Linked DNA regions of Pelodiscus sinensis. Each later gene encodes a partner of the first gene's protein in a complex. Links are inferred from orthologs where the notes say so. Each region holds a gene or a part of one and is shown in the gene's direction. Other genes may lie near its edges.

The links.
Region 2: NCKAP1 (region 1) and ABI1 share a complex: the UniProt entries of both Homo sapiens proteins name them as parts of the WAVE2 complex. The link is inferred for Pelodiscus sinensis from reciprocal best matches to the Homo sapiens genes NCKAP1 and ABI1.

The regions. Positions count from the first base shown.
Region 1 is NC_134717.1:49,699,400-49,706,733, reverse strand, and holds the start of NCKAP1 (nck-associated protein 1), read left to right. Parts: upstream 1-4,248; 5' UTR 4,249-4,431; coding exon 4,432-4,539; intron 4,540-7,334. UniProt on the Homo sapiens protein: Part of the WAVE complex that regulates lamellipodia formation. The WAVE complex regulates actin filament reorganization via its interaction with the Arp2/3 complex. Actin remodeling activity is regulated by RAC1.
Region 2 is NC_134712.1:226,076,406-226,083,606, reverse strand, and holds the start of ABI1 (abl interactor 1), read left to right. Parts: upstream 1-4,186; 5' UTR 4,187-4,305; coding exon 4,306-4,422; intron 4,423-7,201. UniProt on the Homo sapiens protein: May act in negative regulation of cell growth and transformation by interacting with nonreceptor tyrosine kinases ABL1 and/or ABL2. May play a role in regulation of EGF-induced Erk pathway activation. Involved in cytoskeletal reorganization and EGFR signaling.

The DNA.
Region 1 (7,334 bases):
CACACGGGCATGTCCACGTCCCCGACCCTGATGTGGCAGTCAGGGAAGAAGGTCCCGTCCTGCAGCCGCTGGCACACGGAGGAGTTGCGGTACACCCGGGCGTCGTGTGCTTTGCCGGACCAGCCCACATTAATGTCCGTGAACTGTCCCCGGTGGTCACACACGGCCTGCAGGAGGATGGAGAAGTACCCCTTGCGGTTGACGTACCGGGAGGCTTGGTGTTCCGGGGCACGGATGGGGATGTGCGTCCCGTCGATGGCCCCCCCACAGTTGGGGAAGCCGAGGGCGCCGAATCCCCGGATGACGGGGTCCGGGTCGGCGAGGCGGACCACCCTGCAGAGCAGCACCCGGGTGATGGCCTTGACCACCTGCGGAGAGAGACACAGCAAAGCGCCAATCAGTGGGGCGCCTGGGTGGCTGGGAGCATTCATGCCCTGGCAGTGCCCCGCGCCCCACTCCCGGAAGCAACCCCCCTGGCGGCGTGTAGTACGGCCGGGACAGACCGACCCCACCGGTGCAGGGCGCTTTCGCCTCCTCCTGGCCCCCCTTTGTCCCTGGGGCGGCCCATCCCCTCCTCGCAGCCCCCCTCCCCACCGGCTCGGTGGCCGACGAGTGCCATACCTGCATGAGCACCGCTCCGATGGTGGATCTCCCCACGTCGAACTGGTTCCTGACGGATCGGTAGCTGTCCGGCGTGGAGAGCTTCCAGAGGGCGATGGCCACCCGCTTCTGGAGGGGGATGGCGGGCCTCATGCAAGTGTCCCTTCTGCGCAGGGCAGGGGCGAGCCACTCGCAGAGCTCCAGGAAGGTGTCCCTCCTCATCCTGAAGTTCTGGGTCCACTGTCGGTCCTCCCAGCGCTCCAGGACGATGCGGTCCCACCAGTCGCTGCTGGTGTCGACGCCAGATGTGGCGGGGCATGCCGGTGCCGGGGCGCTGCCGCGGCTTCTCCACGGCCCCCAGGGTGGCCAGGCGGAGAGGCAGGGGGCTGACGTGCACCAGGAGGTGCCAGGCAGCCTTGAGCCATTGGTGGCAGGCTTGCAGCAGCAAGTCCAGAAAGTGCACCAGAAGGTGCAGGGCGAGCTGTGGCTCCATGTTGCCACCTGCGGCGGCGGCCCCGAAGGGAAGCACCAACACAGACGGGCACAGAGACCAACGCTTTGCTGTCCCTTGGCGAGGTTGGCAAGGAAGCAGGAAAAGCTGAGAACCGGCTGTCCGGGGGGGTCCCTTTAAGCACGAGCCTCAGATAGCCTCAGACAGCAGCCACACAAAGCAACTACTGACCTGATGCCCTGCCGGAACCGGTTTCAGCCGCCCTTAAATGCCCCCCTGCGTCCAATCAGTGTGGACACGCTAGTTCGAATTAGCAAAATGCTAATTCGAACTAGTTTTTAGTTCTAGACGCGTTAGTTCGAATTAGCTTAGTTCGAATTAACTAATTCGAACTAAGTTAGTTCGAATTAGCGCTGTAGTGTAGACGTACCCATACAGATTCAACTTAAGAACAAACCTACAGTCCCTAACTTGTTCGTAACCCAGGGACTGCCTGTATTTTAAAAATGTTTCTAGCCCACATGTTGGTAGAATAATGTATAAAACTGGTACCTGAGTGTACCCTACCAGCTCAAACACCACAAAGCAAATAAAGTGATCTCCAAATTTATGATTTTTAAGCCAACCTCATGATTTTTGAGAACTTGGAGTTAATGATACAGCAGCATCCTCTGCTCAAGTGAACAGAGGCTGAGTCCTTCTCTAGCCCAGATAGACCTTAGTCCACCTGAAGACAGTACTTGAAGAGCCAGGGAGAACAGGAGGTGTGTACCAAGGAATAAGATATTCTGGTAGATATTTTGTCCAAGAAAGGACAAGGCCTGGTCCTGCACCCATCTGGAGAGCATCTTAGCAGACCTGTGCTTAGGGTTGCCAAATGGTTTCAACAAAAATACCGGACACACTTGACATTACATCACAATCTACATTACATCTTATGTAGAAAATACCGGATATTTATATTTTCTCAATTTGTTTCCCAAACAGAAAGCTTCAAACCAGACACCTGGCAACCCTACCGTGCTATTAGTGGCAGCTAGGTGGTATTCCCTGGCTCCCCCACTCCATGATTTGGGCTCAAGGACTCTTCAGTTGGGGAATTCATGGATGTGTGTTTCACTGACCCCAAGATGTCAGCATTATGTAGCTGGAATAGAAAAGGGAAAGACTGCAGTATTGCCAGTACTCAGGGCTGATTAGTAGGGACCTATCAAATCCATGGTACATTTTGGTTGTACTAAAAAACATAAGACCTTGTATTAGAAGTAGCTTTGTATCTGTCTGTGAAGAGCTAGGACAGCATGCAGGGAGAAGAGACACATGCAGCCAAACATCTAACATCCATCAAAACTGGTTAATTTCATGATCACAGGATTTTAAAAATAGTACAGGCAGTCCCCGGGTTACGTACAAGATAGGGACTGTAGGTTTGTTCTTAAGTTGAATTTGTATGTAAGTCGGAACTGGTACATATTGTAGGGGAAACTCTAGCCAAACATTTTTTTTAGTTTTGGATAACATAGGGAAAGGTTAACTCCCCTCTAATGTTTGTTTTGCTGTCTGTTCCCCTGTTCAGAAGATTTCACATCTATTTCTGTCCCTGTGACAAACTCAGGACTAAAGGAGTAACTCATCAAATACCAAACAGCTCTGCACCATGCTTTGAGCTAATAGCTTTATTTCCACACACCACCCAGGGTTCTAGGAGGAGGGTCCTTTTTTTGCTAACACAATGAGGCCAGCACTTTGTTTGTTTTGGTGGAGTCTTTGTTTGCCCAGGGAGCCCAGCATGTATAGGGGGAGGAGGGGCGGAGAGGCTGCTTTTGTCTGCTGTTTGGCAGCCTGTTGCTCAGGGTAGGGGGCAGCCTGTTGCTGGCAGGGGGAAGGGGGGAGGCGTGCAGGATGCGAGGCCGCGGGGGGGGGGGGGGGCAGCGGGCGTGGGGAGGCACTTTTCCTCTGCCCGGCAGCTCTGCGGGACCCCAGTCGGAGCCGGCCCGAGGAGGAGGAGGATCCTAGGACCCAGGTGAGCGAGCCCCGGGAATGCTGCTGCGCATGTGCGGGAGTTGCCTCACCCCGTTCGTATCTAGGGATCTGACGTAAGTCGGATCCACGTAAGTCGGGGACTGCCTGTAAATGTCATTATTTTAGCTATTACAATGTGAAAATTCACAGTATTGTAATTGCAGCAGTCCTGAATCAAAAAGGAGTTGTGGGGTTGGGTTACAAGGTTATTTTTCGAGAGGTTCCTATACTGCTACACTTATGTCTGTGCTGCTCCTGGCCACAGTGCTGCCATCAGAGTTGGTCACCCAGCCAACAGTAACCTCTCTCTGGCTTCCTAATTCTGAAGGCAGTGCAGAAGTAAGGGTGGCAATACAATGACCCCCCCCAAATAACCATGTGACCCCTCCTGCAATGCCCTTTTGGATCAGGATTCCCAAATTGAGTAACACTGGCTTCCAGTGTTCCCTATAAATTGTGCACTTGGGTGGCCACCCAGAAGAGATTCAAATGTCACCTTGCTGATTAGCAGAGTGCCCACAATTGGCAGCACATGTTTCTGCTGATCTGCATATGCCTTTGTGCACATAACAAAATTTATTCCACACATGGTTGGGGAAAAAGTTAAAAGGAATATTGCTGGTCTGCCCATGAGATCTGTAGAGTATAGGGTAAAAGGACACAAAAGGCCAGAGTTCACAGAGGAAGGCCGATTTCACAGCCAACATATTTTTCATGGCTTGAATTTGGAAGGACCCTATTGGACAGCGATGCTTGCAGCTGTTGGTATGCTGGCTTTTGACTCTAGCTCCTGAATCCCAGGATTATGTAAAAATCTCAATTTTTGTTCTTTAAAAAAGTCAGTTGCTAGCCTGGGGCAACATGGACCCCAGCAGCCCCCCTCCCCAAAGCTGAAGGTGTATCCCACTCTCGTGCTATGGGGCGAATGAGGATGGGTTATACTTCGTGGCTGTTGGGGCCTGGCCCCACTGTGGCGGCTGCTTGAAGAGGATTCAATAGGAGCCCCCAGAAGAGAGGCCAGGCGAGTCACCGCCCAGCCCCGTCTCTGATCCCCAGCCGGGCCAGCGGGCGGCAAGACTCCGACCCAGCGCGACCAGCCAATCTCGCCCCGGCGGCCGCGACTCCCGCTGTCGGCCGCAGGGGGCGGCAGCGAGCGGCGCGTCATGTGACGCGGAGGCAGAGCCCGGCCTGGCTGGCGGTGGGCAGCGGGCAGAGCCGCCGCCGGCGCCACGCCTAGCGGAGCCTGCGAGCGAGGCCGAGCGGAGGGCAGCGCGGGGCCGGCGATGGAGGCGCTGTGAGCGGGGCCGGGCCGGGAGGCGGCGGGGCCTGGGCCGCGAGCGCGGGGCGGCCGCAGCAGGATGTCGCGCTCGGTGCTGCAGCCCAGCCAGCAGAAGCTGGCGGAGAAACTGACCATCCTGAACGACCGGGGCATCGGCATGCTCACCCGGCTCTACAACATCAAGAAGGTGCGGGGGCCCCGCGGCGGGGGCGGGACGGCGCGGGGAGCCGGGCGGGAGGGTCTCGGCCGCCGCAGTCGCTCCTGGGCCCTGCGCTGCAGTTTCTCTCCTGCGCCTGATCCTGCAGCGGGACCCTGGCGGCTCCGCCGCGGCCTAGCTGCGGGGCCCGGGGCGCAGCCGCTGCCCGCTCGAGCTCTCGCCGCACAGGCTCATCCTCGGCTGCAGCGCTGGGCAGCCACTGTGGGCTCGGGGCTTCCTGCGAGGGTCGCGGAGCCGCGGTGGGAAAACTTCCCGTCTGGTGGCGGCCTCCCTGGGCCATGGGGGTGAGATCGCCGCGGGGAGGGGGCCCCCTGCGCTCCCCGGGGCCTCCCTCTGCGTGGAGGCCGATCTCACCGACCCGTCGGGTCCCGAAGCCCGCGGGTGGGTGGGTGTTTCTCCCCCAGAAGGAGCAGGGAGGGGAGAGGCTTGCGAGGCCACCCACAATCCCAAGGGAGAATGACTGTCTCCCGTCTGCCCACGGGATTTCTTAGGGAGAGCCCGATGGGGTGTGAAGCGGGCATTATTTCCCCTCTGTTTTTGTGTGTGTTTTTGCTTGTCAGTCATGGGATCAAGGGTAGTATGGGTCAGCTTCCCAGTCCAACCTGCAAAAGGTTCCTAGCCGCCTAAGAGGAAAGATCTCATTAAAAGTAATATCTTGTAATCTCAATAAGTTTGAGACAGGTGGTTGTTTAGAAAGATTGCTGCTAGTTTTAATTGTAGCAGATGTTTTTGAATCCTTTTTGGTGCTAAAAGAGGTTGGCTCTATGTTGATTAGAAAAATGAAGGAAAGAAAATAGTGTTTTTGTAAAGGAAAATGATTCACGGCTGCAGGAAGTGAACATACCTTATGATTATTCATCTAGGAAAAAATCACCACTCCTTCATTGGAAAGGCTTAACTTGATAAGTCTTTCCATCTTGTTTAAACACAAGAAACCTTGCTTCAAAACTATAGACTTTGTAGTGATCATTTTTAAATCGTTCAATTCTTCTTGACGTATCAGACTTTCTTCAACAATGATATACAGACATGAAGTAGAACTTCAGGTTTCTAATGAATCAGTTAGGTGATAGTGAATTTTGGTTAATTCAGATTTTACTACTATTTATATATAGCCTGCTTTAACTAGTGCATTCTAGAATGCACAGCTTGAGTGCACTTGATTTGATGTCTTCATACTGTACAGACATTTTCAGGATTGAGACTCTAAGTTCCACAGGCTATTCTATGTGTTTGTAATTCTGCACGCTCAGACTTTGCACTTACTGTTTCAAAAACACTTTTGAGTTGATTCATAAAAAGAACCACAATCACCCTGACGGATGCAACAGGTACTGACTGAGTGCCTCAGTGGAGTGATTCCTGGTTCAACTATGAGCTGCAACCCGATTCTTGAGAGAGCTTTTACATTGTTTTACTTCAGAAATTTAATTTAGTCTAGTAAAATTAAACATTGTGAGACAGTGATTTTCTAATAGTTTTGTAGTGTGAGACTTTAAGAGCATGTCTACATGCAGATTTATATACCTGTTACTGTGGGTTTTTTAACTGATTTAGTTAAACTGGTGCAAAAAGGTTGTATTGGGTATGCTTATTTATGACTTGGTCAATTTAGGAACAGGTTTGCAGTGGTTTAACTGTCAGGCTAATTAAACAGGTGCAAAGTTCTTGTGCAGACAAGGTTTTAGTTTGCTCTGTATGTGTGTGTATATATACACATGTGTGCACATGTGTATATATGTGGGTGTGTGTGTGTGTATAATGACCAGCATGCTCTCTCTGCTGTTTCAGTTTAATACTGTAACAGTAAAAAAAGATGACAAATAAGGTTATAGTAAAACAGAGAAACCTTGTATTCAGAGAAAATGACTTTAAGAAACTTATTAAATCTTCCTTATTTACACTTCTGTGCTTGCTGTTGTAAGGTATGCTGGCAGAACCCTTCTAGTGTAGACAGTTATATTGGCAATAATCTTTTGACAGTATAGCTTATGGTTTGGTGAGTGAAATACATTGTATAGATAAAATCACCGTTTTGCTACTGTAACTCTGTTAAGGCTTTGCCCATATACCTATGTGGTCTTATAAAATAAATTAACCCTAAGCTTACACATCTATATGGGGGAAAAGTGTTAAGGGTTGATCCGGCTTTAATCATCAGCAATGTCTCACTGGTACTCTGCTTGACAGGAATATGGTGTTTGTCTTTCAAGCCTCTGAAATTGCATCTGCTCCAGATGACATACAGTAAAAATGCTTAACTTCAGGGATCTAAAAGGTTAACCTGTTAACCAGTAAGCATCACCCTGAACTGGAGAGGCATAACAATTCTGTTAACTGTTAGGGGCTATAATAGCTCTCCACCCTGTCTGTGGTAGCCCTGGCCACCTACTCCCTTGCCCCAGCTGCAGCAGAGTCTGCAGAGAAACTTTCCTCACACCCCGGGGAGTTGGGCCAGCAGCAGCCCTTGCTGGCCTTGCTCCTAGGGAGGCTTCGCTGCCCACTGTGTGTGTAACCGCTATGATTTTTAGCAGTTACATGGTTGCATTTTAAAATGCATTTTACATTGCGTGGTTTAGGAGGTGTATGTAGGTAGTCCAACTTTACGTTGTGTATTCCACTGCAAAACTGGTAGAGCATCAAATGGAAATCTGTGTGGGAGTTCATGAAGCTGCTTGTTTTTCTACCTAAGTTGGTTTTTGTTTTTTGTTTTTAAACTGTATTCATCGCTGTGGTAACTGAATGGCAACATAATGTTAAAGAGG
Region 2 (7,201 bases), on another chromosome or scaffold:
CCCACGTGGACCAGGCCTGCACGGAGCTGTCTCTTATCACGCCGTACTGTACATTTACTTGCACAAGAGTGGGTGGGCAGTGTAGATGCTCAGCGGATTCTTGCGCAAGAATGGCCGTACTTGTGCAATAACTCGCCAGTGTAGACATAGCCTCTCTGCTTTGGGTAGCAGACAGCGGCTTTTGCAGAGCAGGCTCTGCTGCTTCCCGCTTTGTTCCCAGCTTGGTGGCTCTTGGTAGTAGCCACACAGGATGTGTGTTTGGTGTGGGTGGGTGGGTGGCTGGCAACCCTAAACCCAATGTTCCCGCTAAATTTTTCTATCCATGCGCGGAATACATTTTTCTGTGTGTACCAGGCATATGCAAACATGTACCAACCGTAGGAACAAAGCTGAGTGCTCTGCTAATAAGCTGGGTGGCACTTGAATCCTGAGTGGCCACACAAGCGCGCAAGGCACACAGGCCAAAACCACTCATATATCAGAATAAGTTGACATGGGGGGGAAGTCATACCCGTGTAACTAATAGCTGGGATGTGAAAGGTTAACCGGTGATGCTTACTGTTTACAGTTAACTGTTAATTGGTGGGGGCTGGAGCATCTCCCCTCCTGCTGTGGGCAGGGGTCTGCTCCAGCCCCACAGGGAGCCTGTTTGGATAGGGGATGATCTGAGCTGCCTCTGACTGTGGTAGGCCCAAACTCCCAGCAGGCAGGGACTGCTCTGGCTAGGCTGGAGCAGCCTCTGCCCATGCCCTCTTTAATGGGTTAACTGGTAATCAGGTAACCAACTGAACGGGAGTTTACATCCCTAGTAACTACACACCAGTGGTAAAGCTTGCCACTGCAGGCAAGGCCTAAGAAAGAAGACAGAAGGTCACAGATCTGGACAAATTACTGTGAGTAAAGTCTCATTTTGGTGCCACAAGTGAGTGCTGTTTGCACTATAGCACCACTTACTTCCTCTCCCCCCTCTCCCGCCAATAAAAAATGAGCCAAGCCCAAGGATGAGCCCATAGGTATCTGCAACTCCCACTGAGAGGGAGCCAAAATGAAGAAGCCAGATGGAACTCAGAGAACTTAATGACATCAACATGTTTTAAACAGCTACAGGATCGACTATGAGCAGAATCTCATGCAAACAACTCACAAGGATAGCATTTTGTGGACAGAGCAGGGCTGATTAGTGGAATGGTCACAAAGGGAGCACCAGCTGAAGGGGAATGTAGGCTTCCCACCCCCATGAAATCTCCCCACATAGCCCCACCTCCATATGACTTATTTCCACCCCCGATCCAGCTCTCCTCATCTCCTTGGCATGTTACCTAGTGGGGCAGCGCCCCTTCTCGCTGTGCCTCCTCCCAGGCAGCCTCTGGCTATGCTGCCTAGTGCAGCATAGCAGGTACCTGGGAGAATGCAGCCACTGCACTGGGCAGCATCCTATGCAGGAATCATGGTATATTAAGGAGGGGCATGAGACCATATATGTTCCTCCCAAGCGTAACTCCAGGGGCAGAGCTTGAAGATACCATTTTCTATTCTCTTTCAGTATGACCTTTGAGGCATGTCTAGACTCCCCTCGGCTTCCGAAAGATATGCAAATTAGGTATGAATTTGCATATCTTCTTCCGATCCCTTTTTCGGAAGAGGATTTAAAAAAAAAAAAGTAGTCTAGATGGGGTTTTTCATGCAAAACCCTCCCTTTTTCAAAAGAACCCTTATTCCTCAAAAAATTAGGTTTACAGGTTTTTTTTGAAAAAGGGGTTTTTGCGTGAAAAACCCCATCTAGACTGCTTTTTTTTTTTTTCAAAAATCCTCTTCCGAAAAAGGGATTGGAAGAAGATATGCAAATTCACACCTAATTTGCATATCTTCTTTCTGAAGCTGAGGGTAGTCTAGATTTGCCCATGGAGTCAGGGCAGGTGCTCTATGCATGCACTCTGCTGTTGGCTTGCTTTGTGAGACTGAGTGAGTTACTTGCCCTTGTTTTCCCTGTCTGCAAATGGGGCTGAAGTAATGTTGTGGCAAGTGGGGTCTTCCGTGAAGAAACTGCAAAATTCAATGGTTGCACATTTGTAGTACGTGTTCATTTTAAGTTCCTTTCACTGCCACCACAGCACTCACTATGCAACAATCTGTTTACAATATCTGCAGTGCTTTTGACCCACACCTCTGGACTTGAGTGGAATAAAAATCTCCCTTCCCAGAGCCCTCTATGGCTATCTATACAGCAGCGTTATTCCCAAATAACATAGTGTGCATCTATGCTACAAGCCTTTATTTCAAAATAATGTTGAGCTGGAGGACTTATTACTCTGACTCATGGTAACCATCATTTCATGAAGAGTGAGGGAAGTTGAAGAAAAAGTGTTCTTCCTTCGACTTCCTGCAGTGTAGACTATGCCAAAAGGCAAATTAAGCTATTTCGACTTCAGCTACACAATTGACATAGCTGAAGTTACATAGTTTAATTCGAGTTTAGCTCTGCTATGTAGAAGTGACTTAGCACAACTAGCCTCTTTCCACCACTTCCTTCCTGTGCATCTCTATCAGACTTGGGCTGATGGGCTAATTGACTCCTTATCTCACCCAGTCAGCCTATCTAATTATCTCCCTCTGCTTTCTCTCGGGAACTAAGTGGCATCTAAGTGACAAGACAGCTGGCTTGCTCTTTAGCCTCTAGCACACTGTCACGCAGATGATAACCAAGTGGTCCTATAAACATATTCTTCCACATTATTCTCCTTGGCATACAAGCAAATTTTGAATCTTGTAAAGACATGCTGTATTGTTGGTAGTGTTGGGTTATGTGAGGTTTTGCTGTGTAGAAGCCAATTGGGGAAAGAAGGAACTGTATGAGGCTCTTTGCCTTGAGCTCTGACTAAAGTAAATACCTGAGGCCCAGATTGCTCCCTTGGAATCAACTGGATATTGGACCTGTTGCTGGGCTTGGATTCCTAGAATCCATGATTATCTGCATGCTATTGGACATGCATGCTATGGCCAGTTTGATTAAAATGCAGGCTGAAGTTCTGACATCAGACATCTCCACACACAGAAACCTATCAGCCACCATTTTAATCAAACTGGACATTCCCTTAAAGACCTGACAACATGCGTCTTACTACAAAGAGACTTTAACACCTGATTACAGAGGGAGACTTCAGAACTTTTATTTATGCTAAAATTTGACAGGTTGTGAATGGGCCTTAATATGGATGATAATTACCTGACACATTACAAACACAGCCTCCCCACCTTTTGATATTCATAGTAAGTCCAGATTAGCCACTTAATTAACTCTTAATAAGCAATTTCCTCCTTCCGTGTCCCCTGGCCCCCACCTTCTGTTCTATGTAGCCCATTCATTAGTTTGTAATTTGTTTACATTTTTCATTGTATCCCTCTGTTACATAATGGTCATACCAATTCTCTTTCAGAGTATGATCTGAAGAAGTGGGTCTGCTCCACGAAAGCTCATCACCTAATGAACTATCTTGTTAGCCTTTAAAGTGCTATATGACTGCTTTCTCTAATCAAAATATATCTAAATCTCACATCACTGCTTTCTCTTATATTTGGAAACTCCACGTACAGGTCCAGGATATCTGCTATCTTGTGGCACAAGGGCACCACTAGGTCAGACCAGGACACTGATTCCAGAAAAAAGAGCAATAATAGTGTTATGCTGAAAAGTGTTAATGGCTGCCGTTCAGAAGTCTTTAATATGTGGACAATCTCAATGTTTGTTACAGCCGCTGAGAAAGGTCTGCCTGGATAATCCAGGGAGGCAGGGTAGATGGGAAGAAGGTGTTTAAATACTGAGTGTCACGCCTTTTGTCTCTCCCCGTTGCAATGCAGAGCGGGTCTCCCCGAGGAACTGGCTCTATGCTGTTTAATTTCCCTCAGTTGCAGCTGGCCCAGCCCTATCCTGCTTTGAACCAAGCCGGTGAAACGAGTGGGACTAACAGCTCAGCTTTCCCTCTAGTGAGAAACTGCTCGTGTGGGAGCGAGCACCGAGCTCAGCCACGGCGCAGCCTAAGGGAAGAGAACCACCCCAAGCCACACCTTGCAGCTTCCCCGGCGCATGCCCACTCCCAGAACCAAATACCGCGGGGAGGGGGGCGGGGTTGGAGAGGAGCAGACTACAACTCCCAGCATGCAGTGCGACGGGCATTTTCGGGGTGGGTGGGGAAAGCAGGGCGGCCTCACGAAAGCGAGGCGAGGAGGAATCCCACAATACCAGGCGGGTTGTGGGCTCGCCGCCGCTGTCTCTTTAATGCAAGAGGAAGCGATGCGGAGGGGAGGAAAATGGCAGAGCTGCAGATGCTGCTAGAGGAGGAGATCCCCTCGGGCAAGAGGGCGCTGCTCGAGAGCTACCAGAACCTCACGCGGGTGGCCGACTACTGCGAGAACAACTACATCCAGGTGAGGGCGGCCCGGCGGGGCGCGGAGGGCGGCACTGGCGGGTGCAGGAAGTGGGCACCGAATGTTGCAACAGCCGGAGGAGCCGCCGCCGATACATTGTATCGCCCGGCAGCCGCCGCCGCAGCGCCCCGGTTCCTCCGCCCCCTCCCTTCTTCGCTCTGCCTTGCAACTTTCTAGCCCCAGTGCCTCTTACTCCCCCCACCCCACGCCGCCTGTGCTTGTGAGCAGGGAGGGGTGATTCTGTCGGCTCAGCCCAGAGGGTGTGTCTCTTTTATTATTTATTTTATTGTGACTCACGGCGCCCAGATGGGGGAGAGGGTGGATTTGTATATGCCTCTGATTGAGCGCTTGAAAGTCTGCCTCTGTCAGACCAAATTCCTCCTCCTCTTTCGTTTCTCCCCCTCTCCCCCCCCCCCCCGCCGCCGTTTGGCTTTGGAGTGGCTACAGTGTTATTTTCAATAATCAAACTAACCATTTAAAAAAAAAAAAACCCTGAAGTTCTGGGTTCTTAAGTCAGTTGCACAGACGTAATAGGCATCAGCCCTTTTCATCTTTCCGGGGTGGGTGTTCTCTCCCTGTTAGTTGTATAAAGAGGTGAATTTCAGAAAGGATGTAAGTGTGAGGTTTGCAAATGCTGGCTGTGGCGAGTGTTGAAATACAAATGACTGACAAATGCAGAAATATGTTTGTATGTTGGGGAAGAAAGAAGGGACACCCCCGCCCTGTCGCCCTGCCCCCCCAGTGGATTTTTTTTAATAGTTGGCATCTAATTCTCACTTAAAACTACATACATGAATTGCATTCCTGGCATTCTGTACTGGTGATTTTGAATTGTTACAATGAGCAGTACTCATGTATATAGGCGGTAATGTGCAAACATGATGTGCTATTTCAGCATGGCAGTTTCTCCTTCTGAGATAGTAAAGCTGCTTGCTTCATAATTCAGACATCCTATAGCAATATTTTTAAATCAGGTGTCTCTTGCCTCAAGGTGCACCCCAATGCACTTGTTCTTGTATCTTGCTGCTTCAGTTTCCTTAGCCCTTTTTAAAACTCATGTGTGTACATTTTTATTTTGGCTTTGAAAAGTATGTTCATAGTAATCTTTGTATACATCTGAAAATAATTGATATAATTGCATGTATACATGTGAACTGAAATGGACACAGTGCCCTTCCAGATGCCCAAAGTAGTCCACAGAAAAACTTTCTTAAGGAAAGAGAAATTAAAAATTGTGCTTTTTTACTATGGCTTTTCCTTACAATGTAAGTAAACCTGTTGACTGTAATCTATCACTGCCTAGGGCTAGGTGTAACTTAAAGTTAATATAGCTTTTAATGTTTTAATATTTAGCATTTGCCTGAAACTAGCAACTATTTTATTTGTGCAAGTGGGATAGTAATTTAGTGGTTTTATCAAACTTTAACTATCCCTCAACATCCCTTTGTGAAATTACTTTTTTCTGACATGTCAGGCAATGCTGTTTGATATTTGAATTAAAATTCAAATAGCAAATCAGAACTTGTTTTAGAAGGCTATAAATCCTTCTCACAGTGTCAGGCGATAAGGGTTAAACTGTTCTTATTCAGTTACGTGCTCCACCCTAAAAAAGCTGGTTATATAAATGCTTCAGAGAGGCGAGGTTGCATTTGGGTTTACTCATGGGAAATATGACAAACACAGTAGTGTGGTAACTGCAGCACATGTTTTGACCTGTCAACTCTTTTTTCTATTTCAGGAGAGTTGTAGAGCTCTTTCTGGCATTACATGTTGCTTTCAAATCTTTTTAAGAGACATGTCCTCATTGATCATTTGAAACGCATCAAACCAAGAACCACCTTAAGAATCAAGGCTAGCTGTACACAAATCAGTATATTTTACAGTTTTGTCCTCCTACAGCTGTGTATTCCTGTTGCAAGGAAACAGAATTAACTAATGGGAATAAATAAGTAGTAGTTTAGTGGATTTTATACCTAGTATGTAGTCTGTCCAGCTTTAGCCTAATTGAGTAAAAGTGCTAAATGAGAAATTGACATTTAGTGCAAAACAATTTTCCTAGTGGTTGTGTAAAGCCATCTGTTCTATAGTTAGAATAGTATAAAGTAGGGATGTAAAATCCCGTTTAATTGGTTAACCAGCTAAACATATTTAACCAGTTAAATGGTTTAAAACAGGGGTGTCCAAACTTTTTTCAAAGAGGGCCAGATTTGAAGATGTGAACATGCGTGAGGGCCGTTCCCGCACTCTCAGCCCCAAGGCGGAGGGCCCGCGGGGTCGGAGGCGGGTGGAGAGCACAGGGCACGCCGGCCTCACGGCGTCCCGGGGGCAGGGCGAACCCGCAGCCGAGCGGGGGAGCAGGGCTGCGGACCTGCCCTACAGGGCAGGCTCTAGGACCGCGGAGGCCATGGGCGGCGGCGGCGCGGCCGGAAGCGGCACGCTGGGCGCGCCAGTTCAAAAGAGCGCCGGGGAGCCGGGAGAGGGGGAGGAAGCGGGGGCCGTATTAAACCGGAACACGGGCCACAATTGGCCCGCGGGCCGGACTTTGGACATGCCTGGTTTAAAGGGATGGGCAGATGGAGGGGCTGCTCCAGCCCAATTGCATGGAGTCTCCCACCTTCACCACCACAGGCAGGTGGTTGTTCCAGCCCTATGGGTCCTATTGCAGGAAGGGCTGGGACCCATAGGGCTGGAGCAGCCCTCTGCCTGTGGCAGATGGGGAGCTGCTCCTGCCTCCATGGGTTAATTGAAATGCACCATCCATTAAGGGTGATGCTTACTG